Linked DNA regions of Elephas maximus indicus. The protein of the gene in region 1 interacts with the protein of each later gene in a biochemical or structural test. Links are inferred from orthologs where the notes say so. Each region holds a gene or a part of one and is shown in the gene's direction. Other genes may lie near its edges.

Evidence for each region.
Region 2: the proteins of CBX5 (region 1) and SMARCA4 form a complex in vitro, tested with the Homo sapiens proteins (2 studies listed by BioGRID). The link is inferred for Elephas maximus indicus from reciprocal best matches to the Homo sapiens genes CBX5 and SMARCA4.
Region 3: the proteins of CBX5 (region 1) and TRIM28 form a complex in vitro, tested with the Homo sapiens proteins (6 studies listed by BioGRID, with this or other methods). The link is inferred for Elephas maximus indicus from reciprocal best matches to the Homo sapiens genes CBX5 and TRIM28.

What each region holds. Positions count from the first base shown.
Region 1 is NC_064822.1:109,774,559-109,782,078, reverse strand, and holds the start of CBX5 (chromobox protein homolog 5), read left to right. Parts: upstream 1-4,520; 5' UTR 4,521-4,656; intron 4,657-7,520. Other genes in the region: HNRNPA1 (heterogeneous nuclear ribonucleoprotein A1), read right to left, coding at 226-281, 459-614, 1,248-1,400, 1,627-1,701, 2,036-2,128, 2,210-2,302, 2,388-2,598, 2,720-2,866 and 2 more. UniProt on the Homo sapiens protein: Component of heterochromatin that recognizes and binds histone H3 tails methylated at 'Lys-9' (H3K9me), leading to epigenetic repression. In contrast, it is excluded from chromatin when 'Tyr-41' of histone H3 is phosphorylated (H3Y41ph).
Region 2 is NC_064821.1:28,999,667-29,007,239, forward strand, and holds the start of SMARCA4 (transcription activator BRG1), read left to right. Parts: upstream 1-4,557; 5' UTR 4,558-4,710; intron 4,711-7,573. UniProt on the Homo sapiens protein: ATPase involved in transcriptional activation and repression of select genes by chromatin remodeling (alteration of DNA-nucleosome topology).
Region 3 is NC_064829.1:87,269,577-87,277,386, reverse strand, and holds the start of TRIM28 (transcription intermediary factor 1-beta), read left to right. Parts: upstream 1-4,794; 5' UTR 4,795-4,883; coding exon 4,884-5,214; intron 5,215-5,466; coding exon 5,467-5,579; intron 5,580-5,820; coding exon 5,821-5,953; intron 5,954-7,711; coding exon 7,712-7,810. UniProt on the Homo sapiens protein: Nuclear corepressor for KRAB domain-containing zinc finger proteins (KRAB-ZFPs).

The sequences.
Region 1 (7,520 bases):
AGTTGTTAATCTAAACATATTAAGACTCAAGACTACAATCCAATAGCAAGTTGTTTCCCACAAATTTTGCTATTCTGAATATTAACTTAATATCCATCCACAATTTTACTGCAATTATATTAACTATGTTGCAATGCTCAGCTACATTAGGGTTACTGGGTTCATTTGCAATTATAAAAAAAATTAAGTCAAAACACGAAAAGGTGCTTACTTACCTGGCAGTCATTAAAACCTCCTGCCACTGCCATAGCTACTGCTGCTGCTTGAACCGCCATAGCCACCTAAAAATGAAATTTAAGCTCTAATTTTCTCTCATTTGAGACAATGATACATACGGTAAATCACAAGTTCAAGAGAACATTTAAAAATGGCCCTTGCCTAACTTTGCAAGGGAAGTGCTCCCTTTACCAGTGTACTAACTATAGCTACAATTAGCCAATATTACACATACACAATACCTTGGTTTCGTGGTTTGGCAAAGTATTGACCTCCACCACCATAAGGGCCAGAGCTTCTGCCTCCAAAGTTTCCACCCTTCATGGGTCCAAAATTTGAAGACTGATTGTTGTAACTGCCAAAATCATTGTAGCTTCCGCCACCTCCAAAATTGCTTCCTAGGAAGGGAAAGAGGGCCTTTGTCTGTTACTTGGAGGAAGATCACAGTTCCCAGTTCTGTTAGTGTTTACAAGTGAAAAAGGCTGTTTTGACATTTGCTTGCCTTCCTCCCAAAGGGTGGCTCCACCCAAAAGGTGGCTCCAGTAATTGGTAATTCTTCCATTTCCATCTTGTCTAGGCAAAGCATTATGTCGAACAATCCAGCAGCTTGATTATCAACCCAAATCGCCGTAAGATTGAGTGTCAAAAGTTTTAAAGCACAAATTTTAAGAACTTTGTTTCTAGCCTTGAAGGCTTTCTTTTTTTTTTCTTTTCACCTAGGACCACTGCAGACAAGTTTCTTGGATATATCAACTAAGTGCCTAAGATCCCAACAGAATAGTTAAGATGCTAAATCCTGCAACGGAGGCTAATCTAACCCCAAATGAAGACACCACTATCCACTTACTCATCTTTTTGGGAGTGAGGCGGCCCCAGCTTGAAGCTAGGAGGTAGCACAGCAAGTCCATTTACTTTTGAATACCATGCACTGTAACACATAATGCTTCTAAGAGCATCAAGCCCCAAAATAATGGGCAAACTAAGGCTAGTCTAAGCTATCACACCAAAGACTTGGATCACTGGATACCTACCACTACCACCGCCAAAGCCGCCTCCGCCTCCTCCGTTGTTATAGCTGCCACTCCCGCCATAGCCACTGCCCTGGTTTCCATAACCCTGTCCACCACTTCCATAGCCTCTGCTTCCTCCAGAGTAACCAGGACCGCCTCCTCCTCCATAACCACCTACAAGAATACAATTCTTCTCAATAAGACAAAAGTATTCAATGATCAGTATCTGTGCAAGCGCAATGGCTAAAGCCTGCTCACAGCATGCATATTATGGTGAGAATTGAGCTTCCCATGCACTAATTTTAGTCTCTACTAATCTACTCTAAGGATAACGGAAGACTGCCTGCATGTTCCTTATACATATAAAAAACCCACAAATGAACCAAAAAACCATACTCACCGTCATTACCAAATCCGTTATAACCGTCCCCACTGCCTCCATATCCACCACCACCACGGCTGCCACCAAAGCCACCTGAAAAAAGTTAAATTTTAAACGGCAGCCTTTGTTTTGTAAAACAAATCGCCAATCAGTGATTTCACTCATTACCCAGAAGAACTTTTAAAAATAAAACGGGTCTAGTGGTTAAGCACTTTGCAGCAGCAGTTGGAATCCACCAGCCTGCTTTTGTGAAACATTTAGTCTCGGAAACCCCACGGGGCATCTCTACTGACCCATAGGCGTTAGAAGAATAGTACTGAACTTGATAGCAGTAGCTCTTTAGTTACATATTATCATAGATTGCAAAATGGGTGTTAACCTGGGGTAACTAAACTACAAGTTTACTGGAAACTACAATCACACATACCACGCCCACTGAAGTTTCCTCCACGACCAAAGTTGTCATTCCCACCAAAACCACCTCCACGGCCGCCACCAAAGTTTCCAGAACCACTTCGACCTTAAGAAATTAATCATGTCAGACCATACAAACTGGATTACTCACTATTACCCTTAAGGTTTAACTGAGCAACAAACACACCTCTTTGGCTGGATGAAGCACTGGCCATCTCTTGCTTTGACAGGGCTTTCCTTACTTCACAGTTGTGTCCATTCACAGTATGGTATTTCTGAACTAAAAAATGAAAACAAAACCTTAAGGTTCCAAATACCAGGTGAATTTTAGAATCCTTAGTAAGCTCCAGTCATCTAATACTTACTGACAATCTTATCTACGGAGTCATGGTCATCGAAAGTAACAAAAGCAAAGCCCCTCTTCTTGCCACTGCCTCGGTCCGTCATGATTTCAATCACTTCAATTTTCCCATACTGCTCAAAATAATCTCTTAGATGATGTTCTTCAGTGTCTTCTTTAATGCCACCAACAAAGATCTTTTTCACAGTTAAGTGGGCACCTGGTCTTTGAGAGTCCTTAATAGGAAAAACACCACTTAATTATTTAGCAAAAGCTACCCCCAAATTGAGAACATGAAATTAAAAACTAAAACCCACTTAGTGGCACATTTCCAAATAGCTAAAAGAGAAAACTTACTTCTCGTGAGACAGCCCTCTTTGGTTCCACAACTCTTCCGTCTACTTTGTGTGGCCTTGCATTCATGGCTGCATCCACCTCCTCCACAGTAGAATAAGTAACAAACCCAAAGCCTCTGGAGCGCTTGGTGTTTGGATCTCTCATTACCTGAAAAATTTAATTCACTTAGCACATGCTAAGATCCCAGAAGCTATCATCACTCCTACGTTAAGCAAGAAAACGGAAAACTTTATAGTAGGGTAACTACAAAGCCCTCTAAGTTCTCAGTACTGCTTGTGGGGAGTCGAGACCCTATAAGAACACCTGAAGAATCAAACCATTAACAAAATCATACCTTCCAAACTACAATCCTATCAACAATCTTTACATTCAAACACGAACTACGGAAATAACAAGCCAAGGCGGTCTTACTACTACCCTTTTGTCTTACCACACAGTCCGTGAGCGTCCCCCATTGCTCAAAATGGCTCCTCAAACTCTCATCCGTTGTTTCAAAGCTCAAACCTCCGATGAAGAGTTTCCGCAGCTGTTCGGGCTCCTTAGGAGACTAATGGTGGAAAACAGGTGTTAAGTTAGGCTATAAAACGATACTCAGTTTCCCGTTCAGACACATAAAACTAGGCAACAACGTACATAGCATTTATTGTTCCTTCTGGCTGCTCCAAGCCACGTGCTTCTCCCTATCAGGGGTGGCGCTGTGTTGAGTCTGCAATATCCGCGAGAGCTCAAGCTCAAGCGCATGCGCCCCTACGCGCTTTAAAACGCACGCGCAACAATAGGACTTGGCGGGAGGAGTATGTCGCCAACCTAATACTAGAAACTTTAAAAAAACAAACAAACAAACAAACTTGCCCATGCAATCAAGGGAAAAAACAGATCAATCGTGACGTAGAGTTCTGCCGGACTTAACCAGAGCCTGGCCTGATAACGAATGGTTGCCGGATGGCGGCCTCATGGCGACGACGAGGACAAAATGGCGACTCCAACTTTGGGAGGGGTAAGCCCTGGCAGCGGCCGAAGGAACTGCCGCATGGGCTAATTCGAGCGATGAAACGAAGCCGAAATCTACGGAACTCACGAAGGGAAGAGGAACAAAATGAAGTTGATAAGGGTAGCTTACCTCTGACTTAGACATGACGGTAGTAAGAAGAGGTTACTTAACGATGTTCCCTCGGCGGCGTCCACAAGCAGAAAGGAGTAACCTACCGCACGTATCTGCCAGCCTACCTACGGCCTCTCTTTTTTATCCCGCCTCCTCGCTGTCGGCATTGGTAGACACCGCCCCTTCTTAGTTCTGATTGGACATTTGAAATAGCTTCCTCCTACTATTGGTCTATGGTGCCGCACTGCTATGAAACGTCATCCGTTTGGGCGGTCTACGCAGTGTCCACCCCTTGTAGTTCATTGGTTACTGAGTCGTGATGTCTTAACTAGTCTGATTGGCTAGCGGACCTATCATTCATATTTGAAGGTACTTAAGCGTATTTAAACTTTTGGACGCTCCACTCTTCAAATATTACATTCAATTCCTTTTCAAAGCACGCTTACTTTTGTGCGTTAGATAAGAATTTAGACTGTTACAAAATCTTTCGGGTGGGAGGGGTGAAGACTACCTACACAGCGCATGTTAAAAAAAAAAAAAAATACGGTGAGTTTACGCAGGCGCACTAAGAAGTTCCAGCTGCCACTTGGAACATGTGAAATGGCGGTGGGAGAGGCGGTGAACCTACGGCGCCTGCGTACTGGCGGGAGATGCGCAGGCGTAATGGGCGGAGAAAGGGTCCGGTCTCAGGATTGGTCGCGCAGGCGCAGGGAAAGATCCGTTTTGGCGGGCGGCTGGCGTTGCGCAGAAGGCGGCGGCAGCGGTGGCTTGTGGTCCGGCCTCGCCACAGAGGAACAGGAAAGACGTTAGCCTGAGTGATCACTCTCGATCGCTGGTAAGTGCCAGACAATCTTGCCTACCCGTACGAGGTCTTAAATGGATTTCAGCTGGGCCCGTTATTGTGTGAAATGAATGGACCGCGAGGTGGGGGATAGCGGAGGGGGAGCGGCGATTTGGCCCAACCAATAGAAGAGTAGGGGGCGGGATGTTTTAATCTATGTGGCTTCGTCGGAGCTGTACAACCCAAGCGTGTGACTGGCGAGGTTATAGGCCAATTGGGTCTGCCTTCAGCCACCGACTGATAGGTCCTTGGGCCTTCGGAATGTGGGGGGCGGGTTTTCCCCTCCTGAGTAGCGGCTTACTGAACCAATGAGCACGAAGCGCGCGATAGGTTGGGCTCCATCCGAGAAGCGGGGATCGGACCCCAGTTGGGAATGCGGGAGTCGGGCGGTAAATGGATGGACCAAATCTGAAGCCAGTAGGCAAATCGTCCAATCAGCGCTCCAAGAGAAGGAGTCTTACATTTGGGGTTGTAAGGAGGGGAATTCAAAGCCTGTGACGGTGTGTGGGAGTGGATATTTTATCCACAATGACTTCTGTAACGGCGCCTTGAGCCTCCATCCCATACACCTCCCTGGTAGGAAAGCCTTGAATTTGGCATTTTTTCCCACATCGGTACATCCCACCATCCATCACACTAGGTTTTGTGGGAAGCAGGAGAGAAATTTTGATTTGGGCAACTAGCTTCTTTAGATGACTGTTAAAACGAACGGGAAACTTCTGTACGCTGTCCTGGACAGGCATCAGAGGAAAATCTAAATTATGCACGTTTCTATGGACAAATAGATTTGTCTGTAAATACACAGAAAAAGTTGTGGAAAGGTACACAGCAAAGTGTTACTTCCAGGGATATAGTGGGATGGAGGTGGGTTGGGTTGGTCAGTGGGCACTTAGATCTTAATTGTAATATTTAAATCTTTGGAGGGATAATTGTGATTAAGATTAAATGAAAAATAAAGGTAGCTCTTTTTGTGTTTCCAATTGTAATTCAGGTACTTCTCACCACTTCTTTCCTTCTTACACCTCTAAAGAGTCTTGTTTTTCCTTTAAGAACTAAGGTGAGTCTTTTTGTTTTTAGAGGTAAGCGCTCTGATTTTAGTTTTTTTTAATATATTTTATTGTTGTGAATATGTATAGCAAAACATACCCCGATTCCACAGTTTCTGCATGTACAATTTAGTGACATCGGTTACATTCCTCTAGTTGTGCAACTTGTTCTCACGCCCCTTCTTTGAGTTGTTCCTCTCTCAACATAAATTCACTGCATCCTAAGGTTTTTATCTAATCTTTTAAGTTGCTGTTGTCACTTTGATCCCATATAGGTGATTCTTAACAGGGCATAATGCTCAAGGCAGACCTTTATCTGAAGTGATTCTTGGTGTGAAAATAATAGGTAACTTTTTTTGAGGACTTAGTATGTGCTAAGCACTTTACAAGCTTTTTCTATGTCTCCGATGCCTATATTTTGGAAACCCTGCTGGCGTAGTGGTTAGAAGCTACAGCTGCTAACCAAAAAGTCAGCAGTTCAAATCCACTAGGCACTCCTTGGAAACTCTATGGGGTGGTTTTACTCTGTTCTATAGGATCACACTAGTTTTTTTTTTTTTTTTTTAATAGGATCACAGGATTGTTATGAGTCAGAATCGACTTGACAGCAAGGGGTTTGGTTAATGCCTATATCTTAGTCTCTGAGGAATTTTTGTCCCTATATCCTTTTTTTTCTTCCCACACTTTTAAAGATTTTTAGTCTCTCTTTGTTATTCCTTTGACGATGTCTGAATATGGAGAAGAAGGAAGCTGCTTAAGGAGGGTTATATTTAGGTGTTGGGGACAGGAAGACCCATACATCACCTGGATACCTCATTGCCTATTCATTATATTTTCTTCTAGTTTTTTTTTTTTTTTTTAAACAGGACCCATCTATGAAGCAATGTTTATTCCAGGATGTTTTGGAAAAATATATAAATTTTCATTACATATTGGCTGTATCAGACTCTTTACTGCTTTATTATTCACTGATTTATTTAAGTCGAGAGAAAAATACTAGGTAGTGTATGGTGATAAACTTGACTGCATATGAGGTACACTTTAGATACTTTTCCTACTTACTGCTCCCCCAAAATGAAAAATTATTTTCCTTGAACTCATAATGAACAGAGATTTCACATTCTCTGGCACTTGCAAAACAACAAAGTTATAATTCTATCTGTAGATATGGTACGATGCAGTTGCTTAGCTTGTAAGAACTGAAGTGAGCTGAGTTTAGGGTGTTTGTCCCCAATTTATTTAGGTTTAGAAAGAGTACAATCTTGACCTAAAACAGGGTTTCTCAACCTTAGCACTATTGACATTTTGATCTGGATGATTCTTTATTGTGGGGGGGCTGTCCTGCGCGTGCCCTGGTAACGCAGTGGTTACGAGCTCAGCTGCCAACCAAGAGGTTGGCGGTTCAAACCCACCAGCCGCTTCATGGCAGTCTGTTTCTTCAAAGGTTACAGCCTTGGAAACCGTGTGGGCAATTCTAGTCTGTCCTATTGGGTCATAATGACTCAATGCCAACAGGTTTGTTGTTGTGTGTTTTTTTTCCGACCTGTGTATTGTAGAATGTTCAGCAGCATCTTTGGCTTCTATCCACTAGATGCCAGTAGCAAGTCACCTATGCTCCTCCCCACCCCCAGTTCTGACCACCAAAATTTCTCCAGACCTTGCCAGATGTGATGGGGAGGGGGCAAAATCTCCACCAGTGTTGAAAACTGTTGTTCTAAAATGAGAGATGCTGGAGTTGATTATCTCTTCAAAATATTTTATTTTACCCACTCAAAATTAAAGAAGGGAGCAGATGAAGTGTTTAGGGAGTGG
Region 2 (7,573 bases), on another chromosome or scaffold:
GATCTCTTGAAGCTGATATGCCCAATGCAATGTGTCTTTTGATTTCTTGACTGCTGCTTCCATGGGCGTTGACTGTGGATCCAAGTAAAACGAAATCCTTGACAACCTCAATCTTTTCTCCGTTTATCATGATGTTGCTTATTGGTCCAGTTGTGATGATTTCTGTTTTCTTTTATGTTGAGGTGTAATCCATACTGAAATCTGTGGTCTTTGATCTTCATCAGTAAGTGCTGCTATAACAGAAATACCAGAAGTGGGTGGCTTTAACAAACAGAAATTTATTCTCTCACACTCCGGTAGGCTGTAAGTCCAAATTCAGGGCGCTGGCTCCAGGGGAAGGCTTTCTTTCCCTGTCAGCTCTGGAGGAAGGTCCTTGTGATGCATCAGTGTTCCCTTGGTCTGGGAGCATTTCAGCACAGGAATCTCAGGTCCAAAGGACACGCTCTGCTCCTGGCTGCTTTCTTGGTAGTATGAGGTCCCCGTGTCTCTCTACTTGCTTCTCTCTTTTATATCTGAAAACAGATTAGCCTAAGACACTATCTACTCTTGTAGATCTCTTCAGTATAACTGCCACTAATCCATCTCTTTACGTCATAGTGATAGGATTTACGAAACATAGGGAAATCACATCAGATGACGATGGTAGATTATCGTACAATACTGGGAATCAGGACCTAGCCAGGTTGACAGATAATTTTGGGGGACACAATTCAATCCACGACATGCTCTTTATAACCACACCCACTTCCCTCTTGGCAACCACTAACCTGTCCTCAATTTTTAAATGTTGTCATTTCAAGAATGTTATATAAATGGAATCGTTTATCAGGGAGGGAGCAAAGGGTCTGTATGTCACTGTGAGGACTAACTTCGTCTTTCACTCTAGGGAAGAAGAAAGCCACTGGAGGGTTCTGAGCAAAAGAGAGACATGATGGAACCTAAATTTTAACACCTATTAAACATCCAAGCAGTGGTGTCTGGGAGATAGCTTTATGAAGTGTAAGGGAAAGGTCAAGGCAGGAGGTACACACTTGGAAGACATCGGCATGTAGGTGGTTTTGTAAAGTCACATGCCTGGAAGCCAAGGGGGTGAATGTAGATAGAGGACCAAGATCTGCATTCTTGGGCAGTTTACTATTAAGAGTTTAGTGTGACAAGGAGGAAGCTGCACAGGAGACTGAGAAGGAGCCGACAATGAGGTGGGAAGAAAACCAGGAGAGTGTGGTGTTCTGGAAACTAAGTGGGGAAGTTGTTCCAAGGAAGAAGGAACGGGTCAAGTGTTGCTGAGAGGTAAAGGAAGGCGAAGATGAGAATTAACCACTGGATTCAGCAATGGGAAGGTCCCTGTGACATTGACAAGAGTTACTTCAGTGGAGCAGGAAAGACTTGACTAGAGCAAGTTTAAGGGAAATTACAGAAGCCCTAAGTAAATGGAGAGATAGACCATGTTCATTGATCGGAAGACGTAATATTGTTAAAACTGTAATTCTCTCTAAATTGGCCTGCAGATTCAATGCAATCTTAATACAAATCTCATCAGGTTTTTGGGTAGATATTGACAAGCCGATTCTAAAATTCTAAATGGTAGAAATGCAAAGGACTTTGTCAAAATATTTTTTTTTTAAAAAAGAACAAAGCTGGAAAACTTACCCTACCTCATTTCAAGACTTATTATTGAAGACAGCGTGGTGTGGGCTTAAGGGTCGACATATAGATCAATAAATAGTCCAGAAACAGACCCATACTTAAATGGTCAAGTGATTTTTTTTTTTGACAAAAGTAACAAGGTAATTTAATGGGGGAAAAGGACAGTAGGGAACACTAGGCGTTAGAATGGTTGGCTACCTCTATGGAAAACATTGAACTTCTGGCCTTACCTCATACCATACATAAACATTAACTTGCAAGGGATTACAGACCTAAATATAAGAGCTAAAGGCATCAGCTTTGTTTAAAGTTCCCCCAGGGACTCCAAGGTATAGCCCAGAATCACTGGTCTATAGAATTGTTTTCTATAGGCATCTTGTCCCTAAACCAAAACAGGATTCTAGAGCCTTCCCTTCCAGGGTTTCTAGGTCTCCATTGTCCCAGCTACACAGAAAGCCCAAGTCTCACTCTTAGCCCCCCTTCTCCTTCACCCATCAGGTCCAGTCGTTCAAGGTTTATCCATTCTGCCTCCAATTTCCTCCACCCCTCTCCATCTCAACCATCTTCACTCTAGTTTAAGCTGCCATCCTCTCAACCTGGGCCACTCCAATAGCCTTAATGGACTCTCACTGCCTCTCCTTTTCCTCCAGCCTAATCTCTGCCCAGCAGTCAGTCACGGGATTCTCCTGATTAAAGCCATTCAACTGGTTCCCTCTGTGCTACCGAAAAAGTTAAGAATCCTCACCTCAGCCCTCAATGCTCTGCCTGGTATGACTGCTGCTGACCACGCCCCCTTGCCCCCCATCACCATTTCTTCCAGCCACAGAGGTCTTTTTCTGTTCCCATGCTCTTATTCTTTTCAGGGTCCTGTTCCTCTACCTAGTGCCCTCCTTCTCCCTGCTCTTGCTCATCCTTCTTGGCATCAATACCATTTCCTCAGAGAGGTTTCTGTGACTCCTCAATCCAGGAAGACCCCGTTATGATCTCGTTGCATCCTGGGGACTTTTCTTTTCTATCACATATTAGTAACCAGCATGGGAGACAGTTGACTAACATGTGGACTGTGTGCTCCGTGGGTAGGAACCCTTGGTAAGTCACTGTAGGCCTGTGACCAGCTCAGTGCTTGACATGTTGAGGGAACTTAACAAATACTACTTGAATGAGAGAGGCTGAGGTTCAGACCTACTTGTCCATTTTCTGTGCATTACTCAACATTACTTGCTATAAGCAGCCTGTGAGGTGGATGCCATTATTGTTCCCATTTTCCAGGTGAAGAAATTGTTATGTAGATGGGACAAGGGAACTTGCCTGGTATCACCCAGCTAATAATACTGGAGTCAGGTTTTAAATCCAGGTCTTTTGGACTCCAGCATGAGATCTCACCTTCTGCTAGAAACTGCAAGTCACTCACCTTGGGCTGATGTAGGTACGACACCTGGCACAAATACACTCGAGACAGTCTCTATTATTCTTTCAATACAATTTTTAAAGTGTCTATTATGTCGAGGTATGGGGCCCTGGTGGCGCAGTGTTAATAGGTCAGCTGCTAACCAAAAGATCCACGGTTTGAATCCACTATCGGAAGCCCTATGGGTCAGTTCTGCTCTGTCTTATAGGGTTGCTATGACTCGGAATCTACCCCACGGCAACAGGGTTTTTTTTTTTTTTTCTTCTATTATGTTGGGGAGGAGAGCACCAAGCTAGATGTTGGGTATTCGCTAGTGACTACAACTGGTTACATCTTTGCCATTTAAATTGAGATGCAGAAGACAGATGATAAAAGAGACTATCCATGAAATATGAAGGAAGGGAAAAGTAGGCAGTGATCAAAAAGAAGGCAGGTCTGAAGTGCTGAAAGTCAGCTGAAACCTAAAAAATGAGGAAGAGCAGGCCTGGGCGAAGCAGTGGGAGGAGCAGCCCAGGCCGAGTACTACAGGTTGTGGGACTTGACCTTGGTGAGCTCTTGTCCGGTTAGGGGCCGAATGAGGTGGCGCTGAAAGTATTTTAAAAATACAGATAAGAGCCCTGGAGTCCTAAGGCCTTCCCACTTGCCAGTCCCTTTGGTAGGAACAAGCTCTGTCCCTCACTGCTGTCACGTTTAGTGAGAAGTCGTCTTCGCAGCGAGACCTTCCCAGCTTGCCCTATTTAAAGTTTCCACGACACTGCATGTCTCCGTCCTACAACATATTTTACTTATCTTTTTCTTGTCTGCCTCGCCCCCCACACTAGACCCTCAGCTCCACACCGGCTGGGATTTCAAAGGTCTGTTCGGTACTACAGCACCAGCGCCTGGGACGCAGTAGCAGCTCTATAAATATCTGCTGAACTAATTAATTAATGGTACTCGGTGGGTGTTGCAGAGAAGGCGATCACAGCCGAGCCCGTCTGGCCTCGCAGAACAGGCCCCGCCGCCCCGGGCCAGGGACGAAAGCGGTTCCCAGGCCTGTCACTGGCCCGCGGACGACTCTGCGCAGCCCCGGCCCCTGTTGGGCTGTCTCTCGCCCTCATGCACGGCTCCGAGTGTTCGTATCCGAACCTCAGGGTCCCTCGGCCAGCCCCTGCCCGCACACCCCGCGACCACCCTGCCCCATCCCCCAACCTGCCGCCGCAGTGACACCCACTCCGCGCATGCTCAGCGGCGTGTGGACGCGCGTCGTGCGGAGGAGGAAGATGCCTATGCGCAGGCGCAGGGCCATTCCGGACCGAGCTGGGAGGTGCGTCGCGCGCGCGTGCTCCTTCTGGGTCCCGCCCACCTCCCCTTGCTCTCGCGCGGGCGCGCACGCGCGCGAGGGGTGGAAGGGCCGGCGAGCGCGCGCACGAGGCCGGGCGCCAGCGGAACTCAAGAGGCCGTCCGTGGGGGGAGGGAAGTCGGCGCGCACGCGCGCGCAGCGGGGGCGCGGGCGGTGGGGGGGCGGCCGAGGCGGGCGCGCGCTCAAGGCTTCCCTTCGCTCGGCGGCGGCTGTTTCTTTGTTTCGTGAAGAGAGGCGAGACGCCCACTGTGCCCCCGGCCCCGCGCGGAGGGGCGGGGGCGGCGCCGGGAAGGCAACGCCGCCGGCAGTTCGGGTAAGGAACGCGGGCTGCGAGGGGAATGCGGCGCGGGCCTTGGGAAGACGGTTTGAATGGAGCCGGGGCGCCGAGGGGGGAGGGGGCCGCCGGCGCCCGGAGCGGGGCCGGGGTACGGCGGCGCCCGAGGGTCAAGAAGCCCGGGCCCGCCGCCGCGCGCGCGGGGAAGGCCACAGTGTAGGGAGGCCGCGGTGACTACAGTATCCGCGGGCGGGCGGGCCCAGGGAAGGGGGGCCCGGGCCTCGTGGAGGCCGCGCGCCCCCCGCGCGCGCTCTCGCCGGGGTCGTCGGACAAAGCTCGCCTCCCCTTCGACGGGCCGGGGGTCCGTCCGGTGTCGCGTTCTCTGGGGAGGCTGCAACAATAGCTAGGCGTCGGGGCTTTTCTGGCTACGTTGTAGCGGGTCCGACCTGAATGTTGCCTTTTTGGCGAGGCTGTGGTTGGGGCTGAGTATGAAAAAACACACATGTGCCCATTGTCGCCTGGACATGAGCGTTAGCAGCCCTTTTGGTAATCAGAAAACCGACCTAAAATTTTATAAATAGCACGTCATTCCAGACTTTCAAGGAAACGTAAATAACTCCCCCAATTTCTTGCAGGTAGTGACTTCAAAACACTGCCCTGAAGTGAGGGGAGAGGTCGGCGGCAAGCGGGCGGGGGGGGGGGGTGGAGAGGATGGAGGGAAAGATTTGCTGTTGAAACATTGTTTTTGCTTTGTATCCTTTGCCCACTCTCCCAATTTATTTTCCAGATTAAGGCAGTTATTTAAAACGTAGACTTTTCAGGCAAGTGTTTCGTGCTGATCTCAGACATACCAATTGTAATTTTTTATGAGTGATCTTTCGGGAGAGTAGAAAGGATATAAGTGTTAAGAGGCGCTTCCCAGGAATTTGAAACAAGCTTTCAGTTTGAATTGACAGACTGGATTCAAGTTTGATTCCTGGCGCTGTTGGTCATTTAGCTGTGTGACCTTAGGCAAGGGGCTTAACCTCTCTGGGCCTTTTAGGCTCCTTGTTTGTGAAATGGGGATAATTTCACAGATGGGGCTGGTGAAAGCCTGTAAAATGGTTCCTGGCAGGTATGAAGCACTATTCTTATTGTATGGTCTGATCTCCTTCTTCATTGCTCAACAAATATTTGTTGAATCTCTACTGGGTGCCCCATGTTTTGGGTTTGGCTGCCCTCAAGAAGTCTCTCCAGTTTTGTAGGAGAAACAGGTATAAGTAGATGTAGCAAAAGTGGGTGGGATGGGGTGTGCAGGGATCAACCCTCCGTGGCCTGTCATTCACATGTGCCCTGTGAGGGGGACACAGTGGAAGTGCAGGGGAGTTGGGGGAACCAGAGATTAGGGAGGCTTGCATTGGAAGAGGTGGCATTCATGCAAGATCAGGGAAGATGTCCAGGCTTGTGTTTTGACTGGCAGGGATGCCACTTCAGGGACACCTTCCCTGACCACCCGGACTGGTCATTGTTCCCTTCTGCTACACACTGATACATCACGTTGATCCTTTCCATTGTAGCAGTTATCCCAATTTGTAGTTACACGTCCATCCTACTCGAGTCCCATCAGAACAGGGGCCATGTCTGCCTGGTTCTGTGCAGTATACCCTGGACCTGGCACACAGTAGGCCCCCCCCGTGAACATTTTTGAAGTGAACTAGTGGGTCTTTGGGGGAATTGAATGAATATGTGTGTGAAGTGCTTGGCTTAGGACTGGGGGTGGGTTGTAAGCGGTAAGGGTTAGCTGCTGTTGTTGGTCTTTTGACTTTCCAGGCCAGTGTTTCCCAAATCTCAGCACCCCCTGGAATAGGGGTGTAGGATGCCATGTGTGGACAGTATGGGGTGGTGATGAGAAGTGCTTGTTCTGGAATCAGACCTGCTGAATTTGCATCCAGTCCTCGAAATCCTAGCTGGTTTTGAGTAAGGCACTGAACAATAGGTCCCCCCACTTGTGAAACAAGTATGATGATGAGGCCAGCTCAAATGGGTGCTTTGAGGATTGCCTGAGATAACATGGGAAGCACCTTAACACTGCAGCACCTGACATACAGTAGCACTCGAATTTGTTGGCCTTAATGTTGTTCACTTTTTTTTTTGGTAAATTAAGTGTTTAAAACACTAAAAATAGAACCTAGAACCATCCTATATCCCAGAAACCCCAGGTTTGAAGTGCTGGTTATATATACAAAAACCAAACCCTTTGCTGCCAAGTCAATTCCAACCCATAGCTACCCTGTAGGACAGAGTAGAACTGCCCCATTGAGTTTCCAGGGAGCTGCTGGTGGATTTGAATTGCCGACCGTTTCATTAGCAGCTATGTCACTTAACCACTGCGCCACCAGGGCTCCGCTGGTAATATATTTTCCCTCTCATTTCCTTTAAATCAATAATTATGAAAATCCTAAGTGTTCCTCCACGTGCCACCTGAAATCATTTTGTTTGCAAGCCCTTCAGGAGAGATGGTTCTTGGAGATTTTTGATCAGGGTAGTGACATCATCAGGTATACATCATCAGGTATAGGGCAGTGCAATGGTCTCCACACTTTTCCTGTCAGTAACGATTTCTTTAGGTGAACATCTAAATTAGAGGCATACCTCTGCCACTCCTTGTGGACCCTCAGAATGTTAGGAGGTAAGCCTAGATTACTTCCGCGGTTCCCGTGTTACCCAGTACTTAGCAGTTTATCTGATATGGGGAGTCTGCAAGGGCCTAAGTGTGCTGAGTGGATGTCTGGTGAACAAAATTCTGCCACTGAAGATGCTGAGGTCCAGGGATATCTCTTCACCAAGGGCTCTGAAGCCAACTGCCCAGGTTGGAGTCCTGGCTTTGCCACTTTTCCCCTGTGCCACAGTGAAATGGGGATAA
Region 3 (7,810 bases), on another chromosome or scaffold:
GGCTACAAGCACCTTATTTGCATAGTCCCACCCAATCATTGTGTGGGAATCACAAGGATTATGGCTAGAAGGGCCATATTAAGTAATTCACTGCACTGCAGAAGATTTATACAACAGTTTTTTTTTTTTATTTAGGTTCCCATTCAACAATTTCTACACAAATTGTTCAGTGACATTGGATCAAGTACTTCATAATGTGTGAACATTCTCATTATTTTCGTTCTGGTCGTTCAGCTTGTGCTAGCAAATATTCAAAGTACAGAAGTATTCAGACTGAACTTACAAGGAAGGGTTACCCTGGACTACTCTTGGCCAACACATGGTGTTTTAGTTTGTTTTTTTTTTTTAGTGCTGCTATAACAGAAATACCACAAGCGGATGGCTTTAACAAAGGAAAGTTTATTCTCTCACAGTCTAGTAGGCTTAAAGTCGGAATTCAGGGCCCCAGCACTAGGGGAAGGCTTTCTTTCTCTGTCAGCTCTGGAGGAAGGTCCTTGGGATGCATCAGTTTTCCTTTGGTCTGGGACCATCTCAGTGCAGGAACCTCAGGTCCAAAGGGAGGAACCTCGGGTCCGAAGGACATGCTCTGTTCCCTGCACTGCTTTCTTGGTGGTTATGAGGTCCCCCACTCTCTGCTTGCTTCCTTTTCATTTTATTTCTTGAGAGAAAAAAGGCGGTGCAGGCCACATCCCAGGGAAACTCCCCTTACGTTGGATCAGGGATGTAACTTGGGTAAGGGTGGTGTTAGAATCCCACCCTAATCCTCTTTAACATAAAATTACAATCATGAAATACAGGACAACCACAGAATACTGGGAATCATTGGGGGACATAATTCAATCCATGACATGTGGGACAGAAGGAGACATGGTGTTCGTTCTCAGAAGATATGTACCTAGAATGTTCCAGTGTGGTGCACTGGGTTGTTTTATATGGCCTTTTGGAAACCCTGGTTGCATAGTGGTTAAGTGCTACAGCTGTTGACCAAAAGGTGGGCAGTTTGAATTCACCAGGCGCTCCTTGGAAACTCTATGGGGCAGTTCTACTCCGTCCTATAGGTTTGCTATGAGTCAAAATCAAATTAATGGCAACAGGTTTTTTTTTTTTTTTTTCTCACCATGGTCTTGTAACTCGCACCAATAGACTAGTGGGACTATGCAAATGAGGTGCTTGTGGCCCACTATGGGGATTGGGTAGCTTGCTAATAATGTAAATAAGGTGCATGGCACTCTTAGGATGGGATGATGCAAAGAAGATGTATGGAACCCTAATGAGGGGATTGGTCAGTTTTGCCATCCTGTTAGGCTTAAAAGAGAGCCAATTCCTGAGCAGAGCAGGGACTTGACTACCACCAAGGAGAGATGGGTGTGGAGCACATCCTTTGGACCCAGGATCTCTGTGGTGAGACCCTCTTAGACCCAGGAGACAGAGAGAGCAGTGCAGAGAAATGGCGGCAGCAAAGGCAGCAGATGCAGGAGACTAGCAGGAGACAGACTGCTGTGTGTGCCAACTCAGTGAATGAGAAAGCTGAGCACCTTCTGGCAGGAGGCTTGCTGGTGGAATGGGGTGCCTCTGGGCACTTACTGGCAGAGCTAAAATAGCTTTGTAACACTTGCCCGAGCAGGGCAGAGCACAGGCTGAGGGGCCATGGGGCAGAGAGGCCAAGGGCCAGAGATAGACATGCCTGCAGGTACAGCGGTAAAAAAGCTGTCCTGACGGAAGAACTGTATCGTGAGTTGTTTCTGATCCTGAATTGTAACCTGTTACTTCCCTAATACACCGCTTACTCATGAGTATTGGCTGTGAGTTCTGTGTGGCTGTTGCAAGGAGTTATCGGACCTAGCAGAGGAGTAGAGGGTGCTGTGGGAGAGATGGTTGGTATCAGAACTGGTAAAAAGGTTGGGGGGTGGAAGCATGAAGGCTTCCTCCTCAAAGGAAACAGCCTTGGGCTGTTGATCTTGATTCTCCTTCCCCCTCCTGAAGTTAGAGGAGGTCAAACACCACCCCCACACCATTTTTACATCCAGGAAGCATGTGACAAAACTGTTCTAGAAAATTGCTTGTACAGACCGTTCTTAGAAAATGTATGTTAGAAAATTAACTGCTATGTGGAAAAAATTGTTCTGCAAGATATTTACGGTTTTAGCCATGTTGAACTTTAAGTATAAAAACTCCATCTTTTGTTCTGCTCAAAGGAGCACCTTGCACTTTCACCTTGAGCTGCCCAACTTGAGTTGCTTTATTCCTCAGTAAAACTTATTGTCTCTTACTCTAATAGAGTATAAGAATTTCTTCTTTCATAAGCTCCATTCCCACATCCTCTACCATCAATCTTTTTGAAGAGTCTCTAGGTGGTGCAAATGGTTAATGTGGTTAACATGCTCAGTTGCTAACAGAAAGGTTAGAGATTCAAGTCCACCCAGAGGTGCCTCAGAAGAAAGGTCTGGCTAATTACTTCTGAGAAACCATCCATTGAAAATCCTATGGAGCACAGTTCTACCCTAACACACATGAGTTTCCATGAGTTGGAACTGACTCCAGGCCAACTGGTATTTTGATCGCCCTTCCCTCCCCAGTGTCTGGTGGTGCAGTGGTTAAGTCGATTGACTGCTAACCAAAAGGTCCGTTGGAAACCACCAGAGGCTTCGTCGGAGAAAGATGTGGTAGTTAGCTTCTGTAAATATTTACAGCTTTGGAAATTCTATGGGGTCACTCTGAGTTGGAATCTACTCCATGGCAGTGGGTTTGGTTCTTTCCTCAGTGTTTGCCCCAGGGCTCAGGTTAGGGCATGGGTCACCCCTTCACCCCTGTGATTTTGCGGTCCAACACGCTCAGTGAATATATCTAAAGGATCCCCCACCTCACCCTGTGCGCCGCCAGCCATTCACATTCGTTCCGAATTATCAGAGGTGGCTGGGAGGAGGTGAGAAGGGGCCGGTCAGTGGGGCGTGGCCTTCACCGCACCGGGTGGAGCCGGGCAGCCTGCGGAGGGGGCGTGGCGGGCGATGACGCAGCGCAGAGGCGGGAGCAGGGCGGGGCCCGAATTTGGGGGGCCGGGCGCTGGGGCTGGAACAAAGGCAGGGGCGGGAACAAAGCTCTGCGGACCCCGAGCCCCGGAGAGGAACAAAAGGCAACCTTGGGCCAGCGGCCAGTCGCCCCTCCGCCACCGCCACGTGCGCCCGCACGGCTTGGGGAATGGAGGGTAGATGGCGCCCCCCACCCCGCCCCAAGACTGTCCGGCCCCCGCCTTAAAGTGTGCGCACTCTGGGGCTCCGGCCTGGGCTCGCTGACCCTGCTGGCCTACCCCATCCTCCAGGAAGCCTCCCTCCCCCAACCTGCCGTCGCATTTCAGACGCGAGGCCTCAGGACCCGAGGGTACAGAGGCAGGCCTTGTCATGCGCGCTGCGGTCACTGCGCAGGGGGCCAGGGCCCACTCCTAGCGCCATGTCCATCCCTCGTGTTTCTTGCGCCACTCTCTTCAGACAGGATTTCCCCTACGCCCCCAAGGCCGTGCGCTCCGTTTAGCACTCCCTCCTTAGCATTTTAGGATTCCCCTTCCCACAGGATCTGCCTCTCCCTCAGGCAGAATTCCACCCAGACAAACCCTGCTTCCATTCTCAGACAGCCTTTCTCCCCCCTCCCTGCCCCGACAGGATTTCCCACCACACACACCCGTTTCCACCCTCAGACAGAATTACACATACAGACCCTATTCCCTCCTCAGAGGATTACCCTCCCACCCACACACACTCAGAGTCTCTGTATCTACTGTCAAGATTCTCCCCTCACAGAGACTCTTTCCCCTCTCAGACAGGATTCTCCCCACCCAGATTCTGCTCCCCCTTCAGACAGGATACCCCGCACACACAGGCCCAGCTTCCCTTTTCAGACAAGATTTCCCCCACTGTTGAGGGTCGGGATGTCCGTCCCCCTAGAGGACAAATGGCAAAGCATCAAAGTCAGGAGAGAGGCTGGCTAGGAGATGGGGAAGGAGCGCCAGTGGAGGGCCGGGTGGGATTTCACGGACTCGCTGCTCCGTAACCCCTTGAGTTCTACATTTAATTTAAGTAGCTTTCTGTGTTTCTCATATTTATAGCAGAAAGGTTAAAGCCCCGAAGTGGCTCGCCCCTTTAGGAGCTGCCTCCTCCTCCGATGGAGCCCCGCCCACAGGCCCGGGCCCTTCCAGGAGCTATTGGTGACGCAGCGGCTTGGCGATATCTCTCGCCGGCCGAAAGGTGGGGTAAAATGGGGGGGGGGGGGTCCCGGGCTGCCCACGCACGTGCGCAGTACAGCGGGTAGCCTCGGTGCGGTCTGGAGGTGGGTCTGGAGGGGCGGGTAGCACGCGCAAGAATCGGTGCTTTCGCCCCGCCTGCCGCCGAAACTGCGGCGGTGACGTCTTGCGCCCCGCCCATGCCGCTCGAGTCGCGCCGAGGGGATGGTTGGTGGGGGGTGAGAGGGGCGCTTGCGTACTAGCAACCTCGCAGTCGGCGGCAGGCTCAGACCCCGCCCCCGGGCCGCAAGGTGCCCAGCGCGCGTGCGCGGAGGCGTCGGCGCCAGTTATTTCTGTCCCGCCCCCCAGCCGCGGCTCTTTCTGCGAGCAGGCGCGCGGGCGAGCGGTCGTGTGCGTGGAGCTGGGCTCGAGGGCGGTGTCGGCGGCTGTGCACGCGGCGGGCCGGCGGGGAGCGAGCAGGCAGCGGCCGGCCGGGCCTCGGCAGCGCCCCGCGCGCGGCGGGCAGCGGCCCAGTCGGTGCGCAGCAGCGCTCGGCCTCGCGGCGGCGGCGGCGGCCCAAGCAGCGGCGCGGCCGTTGGCGGCGAGCCTGTCTGCGCCTGCGCGGCAGGCCCCGTGCCCCTCCTCCCCCCTGGGCGCCCCCGGCGGTGTGTGAATGGCGGCCTCGGCAGCGGCGGCGGCGGCGGCGGCCTCGGCTGCGTCGGGTAGCCCCGGCCCAGGCGAGGGCTCGGCGGGTGGCGAGAAGCGGTCCGCCGCCTCATCGGCTGCAGGCTCGGCTTCGGCCTCGGCGTCGTCGCCCGGTTCGGGCGGTGGCGAGGCGCTGGAGCTGCTGGAGCATTGCGGCCTGTGTCGAGAGCGCCTGCGGCCCGAGCGGGAGCCGCGCCTGCTCCCCTGCCTGCACTCGGCCTGCAACGCCTGCCTCGGGCCTGCCGCACCCGCCGCGTCCAATAGCTCAGGAGACGGCGGCGCGGCGGGGGACAGCGCGGGTGAGTTCGCGGAGGACGGCCCCGGGCGCCGGAAGCGCTGCTGGAGGGGAGAGGTGGGGTCGGGGGTGGAAGCCTGCCTGGGGTGGGAATGGGGTCTGGACGCTGATATGGGGGCTTGCACGGGGGCTGCGTAGCGATGTGGGATTATCCGAGGTAGAGGATGGGCTTCCTGGTTGGGTGTGGGTACCCGGTTTCAGAGTCTATTGTGAGAATGGGACCGCCCAGACACGGTGTTTTTCTCACCTTTTGCAGTGGTGGATTGTCCCGTGTGCAAGCAGCAGTGCTTCTACAAAGATATCGTGGAAAACTATTTTATGCGCGACAGTGGTAGCAAGGCTGCCACCGATTCCCAGGATGCTAATCAGGTGTGTGTCTTGTTCTCGTCACTTCCAGGAGGCCTGTGGCTTTGGGTAGGCCCCGAGAGGAGGGGTCACCAGGCCAGGAGGAACATAACAGCAACACCAGGTGTTATTCTCCACCCCGCTTTTTGCTCTGGGCAGGCTGCCTTGGCTTGAGAAAGGGTTGCACGTTGTCTCAGGTAGTGCTTTGTTAGACAGGGAATCATTAGGTGGTCCCACTCCTTCTGATTCTGTCTTTGCCTAGCAGTGCTGCACCAGCTGTGAGGATAATGCACCCGCCACCAGCTACTGCGTGGAATGCTCCGAACCGCTTTGTGAGACATGTGTGGAGGCACACCAGCGGGTGAAGTACACCAAGGACCACACTGTGCGATCCACTGGTATATGGGGCAGATGGGGTGGCAGGAACATTCCTGGGTCTCTAGAGAGGGACGTGCAGAGGAGGCAAGTGTTTTAAATCTTCAGCTGCTGGTCACATCTCATGGCTGATTCCCTACGTGTTTCTTTAGGGGCTAGTTTCTGAAGGGTCCCAGGGCTAAGACTGCTTGAAAGCAGGAAGGTGGGGCTCTGGTGTGCAAGTTCCAGGGGTCCTGGTGGTAGGGAAAAGATCTTGGAGGATCACAGTGGACGTCAGTGAGCTTCATGGCATGAGGGAGTTGGTGGTCCGGGTGATGCTCATCATAGAGGCCTCCAGGCAGGGAGGAAGTGTGCTGTCGGAATAGGGCCTTCCAGGTGGAGGGAACAGCTTGCATAGTTGGGGAAAGGTGTGGTGTTTAATGAGGGATGTGAAGGGTCACTGTCTTGGGGTTCCCTGGCACCCTGGCTCGAAGCTTTATGTGGAAAGTGAGTCTTTGGGGCCAGGGCACATTGTTGAGCTGTGAGCGCCCATGAACTGTCAGTGACGGTGTGTCCCAGAGGCACTTCAGCTGCGTTCTGCCCAGGGTTCAACTAGATATTTACAGATTTTTTTGTGCACTGGTTCCTATGTGAAAAGGGGCTCGGGAATCTATTGTAGCTGGTTTTTATCCCCAAATTCCTCATGAGATGGGTTTTCAGGAGGTATCTTGTGATTCGTCATAGCTTAGCGGACAGCATCTGTGGGAAGATGAGAATGGAGGTGGCTGAGGGATGGACAGGGCTTTGCTGCGGGACCTGGGTCTGGTTGGAGATGTTGGTACAGTGAGGGGTCTAGGACCAGGTGGCCTATGCCTTGTGCTTTAGATTTGACAGGTGCAGCCAGGTTGTGATTGGCATTGGAAAAAAGGAAAGGGAGCATGTATAAGCAGCTCTCAGGGGAGGGGGCTGGGTTCATCTTTGTTCCTTGGGTGGCTTTACTCTGAGCACTGGGAATTTCTCCCAGAATGGCCTGATGCTGTCTGCGGGGTCCCAGTCCAACATCTTGTTTTTCCTGGATTCAGGTAAGCAGCTGTTAGGGTTCCTTTGGCCCATGGCTGGTAGGTTGCTTGTGATCTTAGAGAGCATGGTTTCTAAGGAAATTGTTCATGAATGAGCTCAGGCTTCTTTAGGCCCCCAGTTCACTTTTAATCCTGCACTTGGGGTGATAGCTCAGTGGTCAGAATCCCATTCTGTGGTGAAAGGATATTTGTTGTGGATGACATTGTTAGTAGGTGGGTTGGAGGAGTTTTTGGAGTCTGTCTGCCTAGGTAGGACGTATCCACGGAGGAAATGGCACAGGGAGGTGTCTTCTGGTAGAAGCCGTGTTGTTTGTTAGTGTCGTCCAGTTGGTTTCTTCTTACAGTGATTATTTGTGATGGGGTAGAACTGCCTCATGGGTTTTTGTAGGATGTAATCTTTATAGGAGCAGATCACCAGGTTTTATTCCTATGGAGTTGCTGGGTGGGTTTGAACTGCCAATTTTTCAGTCATGTTATTGGGTCTACCTCTGTTTATTCTGTGTTGTCAGCCCTACAAGTGGGAGGGCTTATAAAGATTTTGCTGGTCAGGTTGGGTTAGAGGGTGCTGGAAGCAAGATCAGGTTGCAGAGCTGCAGTCCCTGCCCCCACACTGCCATGTGCCCAGACTCCAAACCTGGCCAGAGGCTGCTCTGCGTGGCTCCGGAGGTGGGGGTGGCCCAGGCCAGGGTTCCCTGTGTCTGCCTCACTGTGTTCACTCCACAGGGCCGGCTAAGACGCGGGATGGCGAGCGCACTGTGTACTGCAGCGTACACAAGCACGAGCCCCTTGTGCTGTTTTGCGAGAGCTGTGACACCCTCACCT